Linked DNA regions of Macaca mulatta. The protein of the gene in region 2 interacts with the protein of the main gene of each other region in a pairwise test. Links are inferred from orthologs where the notes say so. Each region holds a gene or a part of one and is shown on either strand. Other genes may lie near its edges.

Evidence for each region.
Region 1: the proteins of PLIN1 (region 2) and ABHD5 interact in a protein complementation assay, tested with the Homo sapiens proteins (3 studies listed by BioGRID, with this or other methods). The link is inferred for Macaca mulatta from reciprocal best matches to the Homo sapiens genes PLIN1 and ABHD5.

The regions. Positions count from the first base shown.
Region 1 is NC_133407.1:107,022,208-107,026,019, reverse strand, and holds part of ABHD5 (1-acylglycerol-3-phosphate O-acyltransferase ABHD5), read right to left. Parts: intron 3,109-3,812; coding exon 2,954-3,108; intron 1-2,953. UniProt on the Homo sapiens protein: Coenzyme A-dependent lysophosphatidic acid acyltransferase that catalyzes the transfer of an acyl group on a lysophosphatidic acid.
Region 2 is NC_133412.1:79,486,228-79,490,586, forward strand, and holds the start of PLIN1 (perilipin-1), read right to left. Parts: upstream 2,989-4,359; 5' UTR 2,831-2,988; coding exon of another isoform or gene 2,804-2,830; intron 1,129-2,803; exon of another isoform or gene 1,035-1,128; intron 827-1,034; 5' UTR 813-826; coding exon 768-812; intron 1-767. UniProt on the Homo sapiens protein: Modulator of adipocyte lipid metabolism. Coats lipid storage droplets to protect them from breakdown by hormone-sensitive lipase (HSL). Its absence may result in leanness. Plays a role in unilocular lipid droplet formation by activating CIDEC.

The DNA.
Region 1 (3,812 bases), on a different chromosome or scaffold from region 2:
TAATTATTTATGTGTGAAAATAAATTCAGTTTTTTCTTAGGACCCTAGCAAGACCCCCTGCTAAGGTTATCCCTGGTGGTGCACACAGCCCCACTCTAGAAAAAGCCAAGGGCGCCCAGGAGCAGTGGCTCACGCCTGTAATCCCAGCACTTTGGGAGGCCGAGGCGGGCGGATCACAAGGTCAGGAGTTTGAGACCAGCCTAACCAACATGGTGAAACCCCCATTTTGTATTTGTACTGAAAATACAAAAATTAGCCGGGCGTGCACCTGTAATCCCAGCTACTCAGGAGGCTGAGGCAGGAGAATCACTTGAACCTGGGAGGTGGAGGTTGCAGTGAGCCAAGATCGCGCCACTGCACTCTAGCCTGGGTGACAGAGTGAGACTCCGTCTCAAAAAAAAAAAAAAAAAAAAAAAAAAAGGCTGGGCGCGGTGGCTCACGCCTGTAATCCTAGCACTTTGGGAGGCCGAGGCAGGCGGATCACGAGGTCAGGAGATCAAGACCTTCCTGGCTAACACAGTGAAACTCTGTCTCTACTAAAAATACAAAAATTAGCCGGGCGTGGTGGCAGGCGCCTGTAGTCCCAGCTACTCGGGAGGCTGAGGCAGGAGAATGGAATGAACCCAGGAGGCAGAGCTTGCAGTGAGCAGAGATCGCGCCACTGCACTCCAGCCTGGGCGACAGAGCAAGACTCTGTCTCAAAAAAAAAAAAAAAGAAAAGAAAAAAAGAAAAAGCCCAGGGCAAGGCCCACAAGGGAAAGAGGATGAAGAGCAGAAGCTTTCCTCTAGTCACATTTTTCCATTCTGAGGCCCCAGAGACTGACTGGTCTCCCTTTCTGGTACCACTACCCCATTAACTCCAGCAAGGCTTTACTTCTCTACTGGCCCTCTCTTCCCATCTGTGATGAATTACACAGCTCCACCAAGAAATTCTCTCATGCAGTTGATTCTACATCACCTTCCCACCCCCAAGTGCAAGCAATAATGGGAGGCTGAGGGCATGGCTTTAAAGAGCCTCTCCTAGGTGTCCTCCCTTGCCCATCACTTCTCCTAACTTCTCTTCATACTTTATTTTTCCCATAATTGTTATTTGTGTACCTGTGATCTAGTAAAATCTATTTCTATTTCAGGGTTATAAAGATTAAACGAAGCTCTTAAGTAGTTTACCAGAGGAGGATCATACTGAGGAGTGGCTCTACTGGGGAGAGCTGAAAGACTGCAGGTAGGCAAAATGTGCCATCTGTAAGAGCACTGAGTAAAGTGTGGTCACCAATTCAACCCCCATACCCTCCTCTAAGTCCTGCAGTCCCACTGCTCTCCCCATCCAAAGAGAAGGCACTAGGGCAAGGAGGGCCAGGGGTGGGCAAAAGGGAACAGCATTTACAGTAACCTGCATGACAGTTAATCCCACACCCTCCTCCATACCCCCATGCCTCTTCTCTTTTCTTGCTAACAGAACCCATCTTTCCTTTCTTTCTTTCTTTTTTTTTTTTGACAGGGTCTTGCACTGTTGCCCAGGCTGGAGTACAGTGGCGCAACCTTGGCTCACCACAACCTCCATCTACCTCCCAGGTTTGAGTAATTCTTGTGCCTCAGCCTCTTCTCCTGAGTAGCTGGGATTACAGGTGTGTGTCACCATACCTGGCTAGTTTTTTTGTATTTTTAGTAGAGACGGGGATTTGTCATGTTGGCCAGGCTGGTCTCGAACCCTGGCCTCAAGTGATCTGCCCACCTCAGCCTCCCAAAGTGCTGGGATTACAGGTGTGAGCCACAGCACCTGGTTAGAACACATCTTTTCTATAGTATCAATTAGGCAGCAATGCGCCCAGGAAAGCAGGCCCTGGGAACAAATCATGATTGGTCCGTCACAGAAATTTCTTCTTTGCTGGTGGAAGGACTAGGAGGGCGCAGTCATAAGGGGAGGTTGGCTGGAGCCTTCCAGAGAGGACTTTCTTCCCTGACAAAGCATTATGGAGACAAGGACCATTTTCCATGCTTTTCTTTCTTTTTGCTCACAAATCAGAGTGCTGATTTGTGAGATGACGCTTAATGCCATGGCAGGCATCAAACCCCCGTGAGGAAAATAGTCAAGAAAATCACAGACACAGACCCAAATCCTAACATCAATGAGCAAGCAACCAGAACAAGTGCTAAAACCTATCTCCAGTTTGCTTATTAAGGAAATAATAAAAGGCCTTATAATTTAAGCCACTTGGGTATTCAGTTACTTACAACTAAAAGTACTCCAAACTCATACAAGTTGTACAGGGGAAAGGCAGAAGTTCGGAACATCATTATCTGTGACAATGAGGGAAGGAAATTCCCATGGCTATGGGGCTGAGACAGAACTGCTGAGAATCAAATAAAAGTCAGTCAGGGACTAAACATTGGTGCCTCAAAATATGACCAGAAATATACATCAGGAGTCCCTAAAATGTTGTGGAAAAAATAACTTTATCTATCCAACATTCTGACATAGATAAGGGAAGAATCTGTGAGTGTGGTGGTACCTGTTATCCCCCCCAGGGTAAATCAAATCAGGTTTTATGATCTACCAAATGGTATCATCAATTGGCCAAATGTTCTCCAATGCTCGCCAACAGGGCAACATGCTACACTTCTCCCAGGCCCTGGACTAGCAGAGGTCCTTATATCCTCCCCAAAACACTCTGCTTGTCTGGCTTTTTTTAGAGTGTTGAGGACTAACTAACCTCATCCCCAGCATTTCCCTCCTTTTCTGCTTTGCTAATTATTTGTAATGTTTACAACATAAAGAGTCCCCTTTGAGGAGAAGAGCCTAGTTGCATTCATCTTTGTGCAAGACATGGTGCTTATTAGAGGAAGAGGAGAAAAAGTAAGGGTTGAGGATTTTTTTTAACATTTTGACTAACAATAGTGAATTCTCTTCTGATAATCTACAAACATCTTGCTTTCCTAGAACATAAGCACTCACCAAAGGGTCCTGCAATCCTTAGGCCAGCTAAAGGGTTAAAGGGAGTCAATGCTGCTCCCAAGGCTCTGATCCAAACTGGAATTGGTCTGTCTTGATCAGCAAGGTCTGGTCGTTCAGGGAAGCCCCAAGGTTCCACTAAAATGAGATGATTAACCCTGTTGGGGGAAAGAACAGATTTAAGTTCATTTGGTAAAATCACCCTAAGTCTATAAAGAGCTAGCATGATTTATAAAACAAAGGTAGAATGAACCACCTTCAAAAATCTTCACGTTAAAGACTAATGGCGGAACAGGTCGTATTACGCTCTTATCCTGTGTAAACTTTCGAGATTCAGTAGGATCTAAGCGGTGTATGGTAGAAAGAGGGCTTTATTTTTAATATATCTAAATGTGGATAATAAAAGATGTATAGAGTACACAACTGTGTGTTCATAAAAGAAAAAAGGGCATTTGTTATTTAAGTTACAATCTGGGAGATGATGTAGATCACTGGCTACTCAGAAAAATCCAATGGTTCCATTTATATCACGGCTGACACTGCAAAAATGGCCAAAGATCAATATCTCATTCTTTTTTATTTATTTATTTTTATTTTATCTTATTTTATTTTGAGACAGAGTCTCGCTCTGTTACCCAGGCTGGAGTGCAGTGGCGCGATCTCGGCTCACTGCAACCTCTGCCTCCCAGGTTCATGCCATTCTCCTGCCTCAGCCTCCTGAGTAGCTGGGACGACAGGTGCCCACCACCACGCCTGGCTAATTTTTTGTATTTTTAGTAGAGACGGGGTTTCACCGTGTTAGCCAGGATGGTCTCGATCTCCTGACCTCGTGATCCGCCCGCCTCGGCCTCCCAAAGTGCTG
Region 2 (4,359 bases):
GGGGGAAAGAGATCCTGGGAAGGGAATAAACCACCGTGTGTTAGAATGGCTTCACTATGTACTTGACCATTTTACGCCTCTCTCTTCTATTATTCAATACAAAACAAAGTGATTCCTAGTGCAAGAGTTAGTATAAGCCTAACTTGGGCAAGGTAGATATTGTACAGGTCCACAATTTTTAAGTTTCACTATCTGAACTGTGTGCAAATCTGAGATGCCTTGCCAGGAGCCATCAAGCATTCCTAAAAGTATCAAACCACTTCGAATCACAGTGAAAACCAGGTCAGAGATAGAACACCAGACACAGGGAATATCCCACCCTTCCCCTGACACAGCAGCACAGGCTGTGCACCGTCTGACTCCGGGAGGTGCCATTTGCCATATGAATGATGCTGGAGACAAAGAATGCAGTGGCTCTGCACTGAATACACATCCAGCTGGGCGGCGGACAGAGCATGGGCTTCTGCGTCAGGGTTTAAACATAGTCATTCCCTTCCTCTCCACTCCCCACTGTCCCTAAGCCAGGATTTCTGTCCCTTTTTTCCAAGGTGCTTGGTTTTTAATAAGCGTCTTTTTTCCTCTCCCAGATCCTCCAACTGCCCTCTACAAAAGGTGGTGAGGGCAAGAATAACTAAGCCATGGTAGTCAATGAACTAGGATTATAATCTGGGCATATCTTGCTCTAAGTCCCCTGCATCTTCCCTCCCTGCTTCTTCCTCCTCCCTCAGTTGTCCATCCCCTGTCACAGATGAGCCCAAGTTACTTACAGGGAGGTCTCCATCCAGCAAGGTGGGGCCTTTGTTGACTGCCATCCTAGCTCTTCAAGCTGCAAAACAGAGTCCCAGGTCCCATCAGAAGCCCTCAGGCTTGAGCTCCACTGGGTCACTTCCCTACTTCTCATGGCCACCAACTAGGCCCAGGCTGCCTGGGGGTCCATTTGCCCTGAACGGAAGGCATTAGGTTGGAGGGTGAATGTCACACACAATAGCCCCACTCCTTAGGGTCCCATAGGAATGAGTTGCTCCGTAGCTTACTTGTCAAGACTGATGTTTCTTTCTTTCTTTCTTTCTTTCTTTGAAATGGAGCCTTGCTCTGTCGCCCAGGCTGGAATGTAGTTGCACAATCTCAGCTCACTGCAATCTCTGCCTCCCGGGTTCAAGGGATTCTCCTGCCTCAGCCTCCCCAGTAGCTGGGATTACAGGCGCCCACCACCACGCCCAGCTAATTTTATTTTATTTTTATTTTTTGTATTTTTAGTAGAGACGGGTTTTTTTTTCTTTTGAGATGGAGTCTCACACTGTTGCGCAGGTTGGAGTGCAGTGGCATGATCTCTGCTCACTGCAAGCTCTGCTTCCCGGGTTCACACCATTCTCCTGCCTCAGCCTCCCAAGTAGCTGGGACTACAAGCGCCCGCCACCACGCCCGGCTAATTTTTTTTTTTTTTAGTAGAGACGGGGTTTCACCGTGTTACCCAGGATGGTCTCGATCTCCTGACCTCATGATCCGCCCACCTCGGCCTCCCAAAGTGCTGGGATTACAGGCATGAGCCACCATACCGGCTAATTTTTGTATTTTTAGTAGAGATGGGGTTTCATCATGTTGGCCAGGCTGGTCTCGAACTCCTGACCTCAAGTGATCTGCCCACCTTGGCCAAGCCAAGAATAACGTTTTTTATAAGAGTTCAGGTTAGGAGGCCAGGCGCAGTGGCTCAGGCCTGTAATCCCAGCACTTTGGGAGGCCAAGGCGGGTAGATCACCTGAGGTCAGGAGTTCGAGACCAGCCTGGGCAACATGGTGAAACTCTTGTCTCTACTAAAAATACAAAAATTAGCCAGGCATGGTGGTGGGTGTCTGTAATCCAGCTACTTGGGAGGCTGAGGCAGGAGAATCACTTGAGCCCGGGAGGCGGAGGTTGCAGTGAGCTGAGATCATGCCACTGTATTCCAGCCTGGGCGACAAGAACAAAACTCCGTTTCAAAAAAAAAAAAAGAGTTCAGGTTAGGAAATAAAAAATGCAGGCAGCCATAAGAGATAAAAAGTTTTAGCTAAAGTCTTAAGGCTCTTTAATGAGGGTCCAAAAGAAACTAAAACAACAAGTTTCAAGCTGGGTGCATTGGCAAGCACCTGTAATCCCAGCTACTAAGGCTAACATGGGAGAATTGCTTGAGCCCAGGAGTTTGAGATCAGCCTGGGCAATATAGTGAGACCCCCATCTCTAAAAAAATAAATACGCAAGTTTCAGGTTTCATCTTTGAAAAGGCTCTGGGTTAATTCCTCTATTTCTCTCTCTCTCTCTCTCTCTCACTCTCTCTCTCTCTGTGTCTGTCCCTCTCCCCCTCTCCCTATCTTTTTTTTTTGAGACAGGGTCTCAATCTGTTGCCCAGGATGGAATGTGGTGACACAATCATGGCTCACTGTAGCCTTGATCTCCTGGGATCAAGGTACCGTCCCACCTCAGCCTCCCAAGTAGCTGGGACTACAGGCATGTACCATTATGCAGGGCTAATTTTTTTCTTTTTTTGTAGAGACAGGATCCCACTATGTTGCCCAGGTTGTTCTTGAACTCCTGGGCTCAAGTGATCCACCTGCCTCGGCCACCTGCAGTGCTGGGATTAAAGGCATGATCCACTGTTCCTACCCAATTCTTCTATTTCTAAGCAAACATATCTGTGTTCTGGAAAAGACAGTAGCCCCAGAATAGCTATTCTATACTTCTGGTATAGAGTATCTATACCAGAATCTCTCCCTCAGTAGTTTCCCTGCAGAGCTTTTCATCCCAAGCAAAATTCCCAAGAGGCCCTTACCTTCAACTTCTTCCCTTTAATGTTCATAAACAAGCCATGTAAGGCAGGTGCCCCAGGACCCCAACACTCACTCCAGCTGACCGCCACGTCAGTCTCACAGAGCCCAGGCTGCAGAGCGTCTCCTCAGGCAGAAACAATTCCTACCACTCCTGGGAGTCTTGGGCAATGCTACTAACGCCTCCCAGCTAGAGGAGGGCAGAGAGGAAGAAAGCAGGGTCAGCAGTTGTCATGGTTATCTGACCCAGGGTTCCCCGGGCATATCCTAACTTCTCTAAGGACATTTAGCAAACAAGGAGGTAGGTGGCAGAGCTGAAGGAGATCCAGGCTCAGAGGACTTAGTATTCCAGAGCCATGAAGCATCAGTTCTATAATGTTCCTGCCCTCAATTCACAAAAGTCTGCTTTCCAGAAAGAAGGTATAGATATACACATCGTTAAACTCAAAAGCTCTAAAGTTCTATATACCTCTGCAATCTTTTGGCTCCTTTTCTGTAGAGGGTCTTGTGGGACAGTTCTCAATCCATTTCTCTCATCTTTTCTTATTTACTAGCAAGAGTGAATGTTGAACAGTAAAATTTAAACCCACACAGAAGAGTTCATCTGAATGTATTCGTCTTTGATTATGGAGATAAATTGCCCCCAGTGAAGAAGCAACAGAGCCGGGAGTTGTTTTTGACAATATAGCCTTTGAGGGAGGATTTTCCACTTCTTAGAGTTCAAAAAAATTTATTGAACTTTACCTGGCCTAAGATGCTACCAGAATGAAAAGTGGGAGAGCCAAGTAGATTTTTGTTCCCCTAAGTCTGGATAAGCGACAGTGTTGACTAAGATTCTATCACTAATCAATAGCAAGACAACCAAGAACTAGCACCACTCAACCCTTCTTTAGCCAGGACTCAAGCACAAGCCCAAGTTCTAGTTCCTGGCTTCAGATATGATGGAGGACTATGGTGTAAGCCATAGCTTTCAGATTAACTAAGAAGGGCCTCTTTGTGAAAATGGACAATAGGAAAACAAAACGTATTTTCTTTGTTGCTGGTGGAATTACATGTATTGTTGACTCTTCTAAGTCACACACTGTGGGCAAGAGAAGAAAGAGATGGGAGTGGGGAATTATGAAAGATCCTTGGTAATAAATTACATATCTGTGATGCAATAAAGTAGGGAATGAGAAGGCAGGAAAGGGAGGAGTCAAGCGGGGAGGCTTCAAAGGAGTAATATGCTATACATTTAATACTTATTGATCCACCCTGGGCTTTTCAAATGTAAGGCAGTAGAGAGGACAAAGTATTTAAAGAAGTGGCCTCTGCCCTCACCTCAAGGTTCGGCACAAATCATCTGTGAGGCTGTGACTGGACAGCAACCTGAGCCAAAGGGCAGTTTTCAGCCTTCAGAGTAGTGGCTTTGGGCCAGAGGGAGTATAGGGCTTTGTGCCTGAAAGCTCTGCCAAATCAACTAGTCCTTTGGCTGCTTTAGCTGGGAGTGCAGAATGTGGGTGAGAGGTGAGAAGTGGTGAAAGGGCCTAGGAGAGTCCTGAGGGAAGACAGAAGTGTTAGT